2 linked regions of the Xenopus tropicalis genome follow. The protein of the gene in region 1 binds, or shares a complex with, the protein of each later gene. Links are inferred from orthologs where the notes say so. Each region holds a gene or a part of one and is shown in the gene's direction. Other genes may lie near its edges.

The links. The genes of interacting proteins can lie anywhere in the genome.
Region 2: taf1a (region 1) and polr2h share a complex: the UniProt entries of both Homo sapiens proteins name them as parts of the pol I pre-initiation complex. The link is inferred for Xenopus tropicalis from reciprocal best matches to the Homo sapiens genes TAF1A and POLR2H.

Annotation. Positions count from the first base shown.
Region 1 is NC_030681.2:9,681,710-9,686,615, forward strand, and holds the start of taf1a (TATA box-binding protein-associated factor RNA polymerase I subunit A), read left to right. Parts: upstream 1-1,972; 5' UTR 1,973-2,128; coding exon 2,129-2,237; intron 2,238-4,906. UniProt on the Homo sapiens protein: Component of the transcription factor SL1/TIF-IB complex, which is involved in the assembly of the PIC (pre-initiation complex) during RNA polymerase I-dependent transcription.
Region 2 is NC_030681.2:99,527,242-99,532,262, reverse strand, and holds polr2h (DNA-directed RNA polymerases I, II, and III subunit RPABC3), read left to right. Parts: upstream 1-1,847; 5' UTR 1,848-1,860; intron 1,861-2,232; 5' UTR 2,233-2,241; coding exon 2,242-2,314; intron 2,315-2,407; coding exon 2,408-2,491; intron 2,492-3,128; coding exon 3,129-3,222; intron 3,223-3,332; coding exon 3,333-3,416; intron 3,417-4,524; coding exon 4,525-4,642; 3' UTR 4,643-4,745; downstream 4,746-5,021. UniProt on the Homo sapiens protein: DNA-dependent RNA polymerase catalyzes the transcription of DNA into RNA using the four ribonucleoside triphosphates as substrates.

The DNA of each region.
Region 1 (4,906 bases):
GGCCAATGTTACTAAGGGCTTTGACTGTCCCTTACAATAAGGGTGAAGACACACTGAGCTACTAGTAGCAGCTACTTTTTCATGGCTACTAAACTCCAGAAAATCCCCTGCCATAGACAATACTGAGAATTGCCTCTGCTAAAACACACATAGAGACAATTATCAGTAAATGATCAGTATTGTTTGTTTTAGTAGCCACAACAAGCAGCTGCTACTAGTAGCTCCGTGTGTCTTCACCCTTAAGATCCACAAACTTGGATCTTTAAGCCTGGTACAGTTACCTGTAATCAACCAGTCGTTCCAGCTTTTGTATGTAGGGGGTCAAGGAAGAGAATTGGGAGCCTAGTTAGTAAGCCCCGAATGCCCTAGGGACTAAATCCAGTTCACTATTGCTGCCTATTGCTTAGTATAGCTGTAACTATAGCTGCCTATTGCTTAGTATAGCTGTAACTATAGCTGCCTATTGCTTAGTATAGCTGTAACTATTGCTGCCTATTGCTTAGTATAGCTGTAACTATTGCTGCCTATTGCTTAGTATAGCTGTAACTATTGCTGCCTATTGCTTAGTATAGCTGTAACTATTGCTGCCTATTGCTTAGTATAGCTGTAACTACAGCTGCCTATTGCTTAGTATAGCTGTAACTATTGCTGCCTATTGCTTAGTATAGCTGTAACTATAGCTGCCTATTGCTTAGTATAGCTGTAACTATTGCTGCCTATTGCTTAGTATAGCTGTAACTATTGCTGCCTATTGCTTAGTATAGCTGTAACTATTGCTGCCTATTGCTTAGTATAGCTGTAACTATTGCTGCCTATTGCTTAGTATAGCTGTAACTATAGCTGCCTATTGCTTAGTATAGCTGTAACTATTGCTGCCTATTGCTTAGTATAGCTGTAACTATTGCTGCCTATTGCTTAGTATAGCTGTAACTATTGCTGCCTATTGCTTAGTATAGCTGTAACTATAGCTGCCTATTGCTTAGTATAGCTGTAACTATTGCTGCCTATTGCTTAGTATAGCTGTAACTATTGCTGCCTATTGCTTAGTATAGCTGTAACTATTGCTGCCTATTGCTTAGTATAGCTGTAACTATTGCTGCCTATTGCTTAGTATAGCTGTAACTATAGCTGCCTATTGCTTAGTATAGCTGTAACTATTGCTGCCTATTGCTTAGTATAGCTGTAACTATTGCTGCCTATTGCTTAGTATAGCTGTAACTATTGCTGCCTATTGCTTAGTATAGCTGTAACTATAGCTGCCTATTGCTTAGTATAGCTGTAACTATAGCTGCCTATTGCTTAGTATAGCTGTAACTATTGCTGCCTATTGCTTAGTATAGCTGTAACTATTGCTGCCTATTGCTTAGTATAGCTGTAACTATTGCTGCCTATTGCTTAGTATGGCTGTAACAAGGATGTCCAAAGGGATCAAAGCTGAAAGGAATGACCAAATGTTCTGTATGGGCCAACTGTAACAATAGTGAGGCAATAATTGAAAAACTGGGTGGGTTATAGGGTTTTTAAAAATCAAAAATTAAAACCATGTCCATTATTCACAAAAACATGGCAGTGTAACTTCAAATAAAATACTAAGTTTGGGATATCAGGAGCAGACTCTGAGGGTAGTGGGTATTGCTGGTAATCACCAGAAAAATAAAGCTTTTTTTCATATTTACCTCACCCACAAATATAAACAAAGTGTTTTTTTTGTTCCCATTTACATGTTCTGTGGAGCAGAGAAAGCAAATATTTGTTTTTTCATCAAACACTGGGGATAAAGCTTCTAAGGGCAGTGGCCATGGCAAGGAAACACGAAGGAAAAAAGCAGTCGTTATTTTCTTTATTTATTCTCTAACAAAATCAGAATCTGTGAGAGCAGAATAATCAGTCAGCGGCCCCCACTGCCAGCTATTGCCTGACTAACTCTTCACCCAATGACGAGTTGGCGCCGTCTCCGCCCCTTTTATACGTGGTTCATGACGTCATATTCTCGCGAGAGGAGGCTAGCGGCGTGTGGCTGAACATGCCTGCGGGATGCTTGGGGCTGGAAGTGCAAGCGGCGCTGCGGGGAATGTAAACACAGTGTGAGGGGGAAGCAGCCCGCTTGTCTGATTGTAACCGAGGGGAGATGGATGGGAGCAGCGAACGCAGTGCGGAAAGGGAAGATTCCGAGGAGGGACCGAGTGAGGAGGAGGTTCTGGGGCTCCAGCTGCCGGTGCCAAGAAGGAAACCCCACGGTAAAGACACTTAAGGGTATATTGATCATGCTGTGTAAAAAGTGGAGTAAAACATCACCAGTGTTGTTGTATATAGCAGCCAATCAGATGCTTTGATTTGATTTTCTAACTGTTGAAATCTAATTGCTGATTGGTTGCTCTGGGTAACATCACCAGTACTGCTTTACTCCACTTTTTACACAGCATGATAAGTACATACCTCCCAACATTTGAAAAATGAAAAGAGGGACAAAAAGATTTGGCGCGCGCGCAGTGCGGCATTTTTTTTAATCACGCCCCCTTTTGTGGCCACGCCCCAATTACCACACCCCATTAAAAAAAAATACCCCTTTTATATAGATGAAATGGCGGGCGCAGACGAAAATGTGCTATACCCTCATACTGTACTACCTAAGGAAAACAATATAGCAACTCCTACATATAAATACAAGTATAGAGAGAAGGCAGTCAGTTATAACTAAGTACCAGTTTTGCCCCCCCATACACAGTAGCCCCCCCATACACAGTAGCCCCCCCATACACAGTAACCCCCCCATACAGAGTAACCCCCCCATACAGAGTAGCCCCCCCATACAGAGTAGCCCCCCCATACACAGTAGCCCCCCATACACAGTAGCCCCCCATACACAGTAGCCCCCCATACACAGTAGCCCCCCATACACAGTAGCCGTCCCCCCGATCACAGTGTCCCCCCGATCACAGTGTCCCCCCCGATCACAGTGTCCCCCCCGATCACAGTGTCCCCCCGATCACAGTGTCCCCCCGATCACAGTGTCCCCCCCGATCACAGTGTCCCCCCCCACAGGTCCCCCCGATCACAGTGTCCCCCCCGATCACAGTGTCCCCCCCGATCACAGTGTCCCCCCCGATCACAGTGTCCCCCCCGATCACAGTGTCCCCCCCGATCACAGTGTCCCCCCCGATCACAGTGTCCCCCCCGATCACAGTGTCCCCCCCGATCACAGTGGCCCCCCCGATCACAGTGGCCCCCCATTCACAGTACCTCCCATAGGCGCAGGCTTCTTCTGCTGCTTCGTTATGCCTCTCCTTGTGCAGCGCGACAGGCCCTTTTATAAGGTTGCGCCCATGCGTAATGACGTCACACCCACAGGCGCAACCTTATAAAAGGGCCTGTAGCGCTGCACAAGGAGAGGCATAACGAAGCAGCCGACGAAGCAAGAACATCCGGCTACAGCAAGCGCATCCTGCTGTGCCGGATAGTTCCATGAATGTCCCGCAATGCGGGACAGTTGGGGGGTATGTAAGTATACCCCTTAGTAGTGACTGTCTGTGGCACCTTACAGCCCCCCTGGCATTCCCAGTACCCAGAGGCACAAACAGCCCCCCCAGCCCAATAAATAGTGACTGTCTGTGGCACCTTACAGCCCCCCTGGCATTCCCAGTACCCAGAGGCACAAACAGCCCCCCCAGCCCAATAAATAGTGACTGTCTGTGGCACCTTACAGCCCCCCTGGCATTCCCAGTACCCAGAGGCACAAACAGCCCCCCAGCCCAATAAATAGTGACTGTCTGTGGCACCTTACAGCCCCCCTGGCATTCCCAGTACCCAGAGGCACAAACAGCCCCCCCCCCCAGCCCAATAAATAGTGACTGTCTGTGGCACCTTACAGCCCCCCTGGCATTCCCAATACCCAGAGGCACAAACAGCCCCCCCCCCAGCCCAATAAATAGTGACTGTCTGTGGCACCTTACAGCCCCCTGGCATTCCCAGTACCCAGAGGCACAAACAGCCCCCCAGCCCAATAAATAGTGACTGTCTGTAGTACCTTACAGCCCCCCTGGCATTCCCAGTACCCAGAGGCACAAACAGCCCCCCCCCCAGCCCAATAAATAGTGACTGTCTGTGGCACCTTACAGCCCCCCGGCATTCCCAGTACCCAGAGGCACAAACAGCCCCCCCCCCAGCCCAATAAATAGTGACTGTCTGTGGCACCTTACAGCCCCCCTGGCATTCCCAGTACCCAGAGGCACAAACAGCTCCCCCCCAGCCCAATAAATAGTGACTGTCTGTGGCTCCTTACAGCCCCCCTGGCATTCCCAGTACCCAGAGGCACAAACAGCCCCCCCCAGCCCAATAAATAGTGACTGTCTGTGGCACCTTACAGCCCCCCTGGCATTCCCAGTACCCAGAGGCACAAACAGCCCCCCCAGCCCAATAAATAGTGACTGTCTGTGGCACCTTACAGCCCCCCGGCATTCCCAGTACCCAGAGGCACAAACAGCCCCCCCCCCAGCCCAATAAATAGTGACTGTCTGTGGCACCTTACAGCCCCCCTGGCATTCCCAGTACCCAGAGGCACAAACGCCCCCCCAGCCCAATAAATAGTGACTGTCTGTGGTACCTTACAGCAGCCCCTCTGGCATTCCCAGTACCCAGAGGCATTGGCCAGAACCCACAGATTGCCAGTCTGGGCCTGGTGTGGCTGTAGAGTTGCTAAATTGTATATAGGGAACCTCTGCCCTCAGTAAACTGATACATTTAGCCCTCATAAAGGAGACATATCATGTTAAAATTATGAATGTACCAGTGTATTATACTCCTCTAAATATGGAAGGATTGTGCTTTTAAAAGTCCCAGTAGTCCCGCCCATCTGTTCCACTTCCTGCTGGCTGAGTTCTTTGGATGTGCAGGGGGGCCAGCAGCACTC
Region 2 (5,021 bases), about 90 Mb from region 1:
TCCCTAAGCTCAGTAGCTCAAAGCAGCACAGAACATGTGTAGGGAATCAGCAGAAAAGAAGATGGGGAGTTACTGGGCATCTGTGGAGGCACAAATCTTCCCTGCTTAAGGGCTGTGGTTGCCTTGGGCTGGTACAGAAACCCAAAACATAATGTATAACATTTCTGCCCTACTTCTTTAGTTAGGCTTTAGTTCTCCTTTTAAAAGGCTTGCTTCTGATGCAATAAGTATTAGGCTTTGAGCAGCAACAAACGTTGTTAAGTTAACCATTATAGTCAGAACACTACTTCCTCACAGCTCTCTAACCTCTTAGTCATTGACTTTGGGGGGGGGGGAACATGGGACTGTTAGTGAGACTTAGGGGCTGATTTACTAATCCACGAATCCGAATCCCGAATGGGAAAAAATCGGATTGGAAACGAACATTTTGCGATTTTTTCGTCGCCGTCACGACTGTTTCGTAAATTGTCGCGACTTTTTCGTAGCCATTACGACTTGCTCGGAAATTGTCACAACTTTTTTGTAGCCATTACGACTTGCTCGTAAATTGTCACAACTTTTTCGTAGCCATTACGACTTGCTCGTAAATTGTTGCGACTTTTTCGTAGCCGTTATGACTTGCTTGTATATTGTCGCGACTTTTTCGTATTGAGCGCTCGTAAATGGCGGGCAAACCTTTGCGACTTTGCATGATTTTGGAAGCCTCCCATAGGACTCAATGGCACTCTGCAGCTCCAACCTGGCCCAAGGAAAGTCACAATACTGAAGCTTGAAAGAATCTGAAACTTTCGTACTCGGCGCGACAGCTATGAAAAAGTCGCGAGAATTTACGAGCAAGTTGTAATGGCTACGAAAAAGTCTCGTCAATTTACGAGCAAGTCGTAATGGCTACGAAAAAGTCTCGACAATTTACGAGCAAGTCGTAATGGCTACGAAAAAGTCTCGACAATTTACGAGCATGTCGTAACGGCTACGAAAAAGTTGCGACAATTTACGAGCAAGTCATAATGGCTACAAAAAAGTTGCGTCAATTTCCGAAAAAATCGCAAAATACCGATCATTACGAATGAAACGCATTCGGACGTTCGTGGATTAGTAAATGTGACCCTTCGTTTGTGAGCAAAAGCAAACTAACTGAACAGTTCCTTGTGCGACCAAAAGCGATGTGTATACCATCCCACAGGCAATTTACATTCTTGCTGATGGAAAGGCATTTCAGAGATTAGTCGCCCGCAATGGTGAAGATTTATCATGGGCGACTAATCTCCGTGTGCCACTGCCCTAACGGCTATTATGCTAGACACCTGCTCACCCCAGCCTTTATAGATTACATTTTCGCTTAACAATATTGAGAATATTTATTTTGTGCAGTCTATTTTACCCAGTTTCATTTTTTACACTGAACTGTTACCCTAATGGTTTTACAATTGTGTCTGTAAAACGCAGATCTGTGCATTTGATTGTTACTATAACCAACATAATAATCAATAACTGCAAAAAAAACTAAAATTACTAAAATTTCACTGGGCTTTACTTTGCTGGTGGCAACCAGGAAAAAAAAAATCTTCCTTCCCTATATGAATGACTGCTAAGGAAATATTTGGAGCTGAGGTGGCAGAAGGCAACTGACATGAAAAATAGTCTTTTTCTCTTTTCTAACAGAAGTAGGAGTAGAACTGGAAGCTGACTTTCTAGCAGCTGCCTACTGTGTGACGCGATTACGTAGGCTCGTTACTCCCAGGCGGCTGCGTAATGCGTCATTGCGTTACGTGTAGTCGTGACGCCAGTCTCGCGTGATGAGACTTTGACGTCGGGATTTTCTGTAAACGAGACTAGAAGCCGGCAGGCTTTGCGGGAAGAGTAAGTAGTGATACGGGACTGCGGGTTTTGTAAGGAAAAGCGGGACTTTCGGGCAGTATGCACATACTTGGATTGCCGCCCTCCCCCTTCTGTCATTGATTTGGGAAGGGAGGGCGGAAGCTAGGGTTCCTATGTGTTCTTTCCAAATTGAAGGATGTGACGGCAAAATCATGCAGAACAGCACGTGGAAACATAAAAAAAAAATCAGCGTCAAAATTTCAAAGCAATAAGAATGTAGAAACTTAATAGTGTCAGGATATCTTTACGTATCTCCAAATTATTAAGGAAAACAGTCTGACCATTAGAAATCTCATTCAGTTATAGAAAACAAAATATCCCTGCACAGATATTAATAAGAGTCTACCTTTCTAGCTATCTGCCATGGCTGGCATTTTGTTTGAAGACATCTTTGATGTAAAGGATATTGATCCAGAAGGAAGAAAATTTGATCGAGGTAAGCAGCATAGCAAAGCCAAACATGTCTGCTCCAAACATGAAAGGTCCATTTATTTTCTTTACATTGCTAATGTTGTGACTTTTCTTCTAGTGTCAAGGTTACATTGTGAAAGTGAGTCTTTTAAGATGGATTTGATCCTTGATGTTAATATACAGGTTTATCCTGTGGACTTGGGTAAGTTGGGATTTGTTGTCTGTACATTGACATGATTATAGCAGTCATTTTTGAAATAGGAGTCCACTTTAGAGACAAACACAATATCATAAAATGAAAATAATATTTTCAGTGGATTTATGTTTTGCAAACACAACGTCTAAAATGTCAAAAACAAAATTGACTTATCTGACAGTTTTCAGCCTTTTGTTACCTGTTAAGTAACACTCTGCAAGTGTCGGTGAACCCTTAGCAACTATCATTTGCAAATACAGTTTATTTAGTCTGTCTGATTCTGGGTCTTGCCAGTTGTAAGACCAGAAACAAACTTTATTATGGTTAATGCATATCTTGGTGCAGTGTGCTGTTGGGGTGGTATCAGAAGCTGGAGGATTTTTAGGGTGAATAGGAGTTGATCCTCTAGTTGTGTAAGTAGCACATACCTGAAGTAGCTTGTAAAATCTATGGTGCGGGTTCTATAGATCTGCTTTATGGGTTCCATTCTAAAAAAAAATGATGGCATGGCTGGCACTGCATTGACTAAACACGGTGCATAAATGCAAAGATGTATTTAAATTCTACCACATTACCAGTGTTTTATGAAGATTAACTGCACAACAGTTGTTAAATTGTGTGTCCTCTTACTCTTCTTCCACAGGGGATAAATTCCGCTTGGTTATTGCCAGTACGCTCTATGAGGATGGTACATTGGATGACGGAGAGTACAATCCTACTGATGACCGACCCTCAAGGTATCATATTACTGCAGATAAATAAAAAGGAACATATGGTTCATCCTGTTGGTTTCCAAATTATAGTCTTTGTGAGGCACGTGACTCATGCATTGCATTTCTTCTTTTAGAGCTGACCAGTTTGAATACATCATGTACGGCAAGGTCTATCGGATAGAGGGTGATGAAACTTCCACAGAAGCCGCTACCCGCCTGTAAGAATCCAAATCATCTACCCAGTTACTTGCTTCTTCATCTTAAACCTGCATGTGCTCTTTGTATGAAAAGACAAGAAGGTTTTTGCACCTGGGCCAGAAAGGCAACACACAGAAATTATTAGGGATGCACCAAATCCCAGATTCGGTTCGGGATTCGCCCCAAATCCTGCCTTTTTTTGATGGATTCGGTTTCGGCTAAATCCACTGTCCCAGCCGAACCGAATCATAATTAGCATAAATTTGTATATTCTAATTAGCATCCAGAAAGGGTTAAAATTTAGGGGGGGAGAATCCACTATGCGAGGATTGATCGTCGCATAGTGGATTCTGCCCTGCATCGCTGTATCACCCTCTTTCAAATGACCGGAAGCCAAGATTTAGCAGGTATTTTCTAATAAAGCATTCAAAATAATAAATGGTGTGCAGGATAGGGCAATTATTGGGGCAGGGTAGAATACATTTTTTAATTAAAAATTTTTAGTGTTACTTTTCCTTTAACAATTATTGCCAGGCTCCACCATGCCAATAAGCTGAACTGTAGACCACATCCAATAAGAGGATTACTCCTATTGGAATCTATGGATATGGCAAGCCTAGAACTCCACAGTAAGGGTTATATTTATCATGCTGTGTAAAAAAGTGGAGTAAAACAGTACCAGTGATGTTGCTCATAGCAGCAAAATCAGATGCTTTGCTTTGGTTGAACTGTTGAAATCTAATTGCTGATTGGCTGCCCTGAGCAACATCACTAGTAATGCTTCACTCCACTTTTTACACAGCATAATAAATATACCCCAAAGTCTACAATATAGTGGGATGGAATTTAAAGATAAGGGTGCATGTTTCAGATTTACAGTTTAATCAGTAGAAGGTGATTTATTAGGGAATTCTCTGACATCTCTCACTTTTTAATAGACACCAAATTGAATTGTGCAGAATAAGCAGCACCATTTATGGTGGATGAAAGCAAGCAATACTAATAGGGTTTATTTTTCTGTAAACTTGAAAGGGACTTATGTTTCACTTGTGCCCTTACTCTTTCACACAAGTTGCCTCTACTTTCCAATATTCTCTGTGTTCCATAACGTGCTCATGTTTCCTCTAGGTCTGCATATGTATCATATGGAGGACTTCTAATGAGGCTTCAGGGAGATGCTAACAATCTGCATGGATTTGAAGTGGATTCTCGTGTTTACCTCTTGATGAAGAAGCTGGCTTTCTAATGCTGAAGGGAATTATTGAATGGTGCAGTATTGGAATGTAATATAGACCCTTTTGACATCTTGTATTTTTTTGTATTTTAATAAAATATTATTTTGTGATAAATAGTTCTTTTGAGGTTTTAATAATGCAGTCTGTGACATTTTAAAGGTGATCCTTTATGTTCTTAAAGCAATATACAAAAAAAAATCTCAACCAGTCATCAGTTAAATGACTGGTGCAGCTGGTTAAAAAAAAAGTTTTTTTTTCTAGGCAGTCTAATTGGCTTTTAAAAGGAAAGCTGGGTTCTGAAACAAAAGGCACTTTAGGCATGCATTTTGTCCTCTTCATGATCATTATTGTGGAGATCCACAAAGAGACAACATTGTACTAAACTAGTGA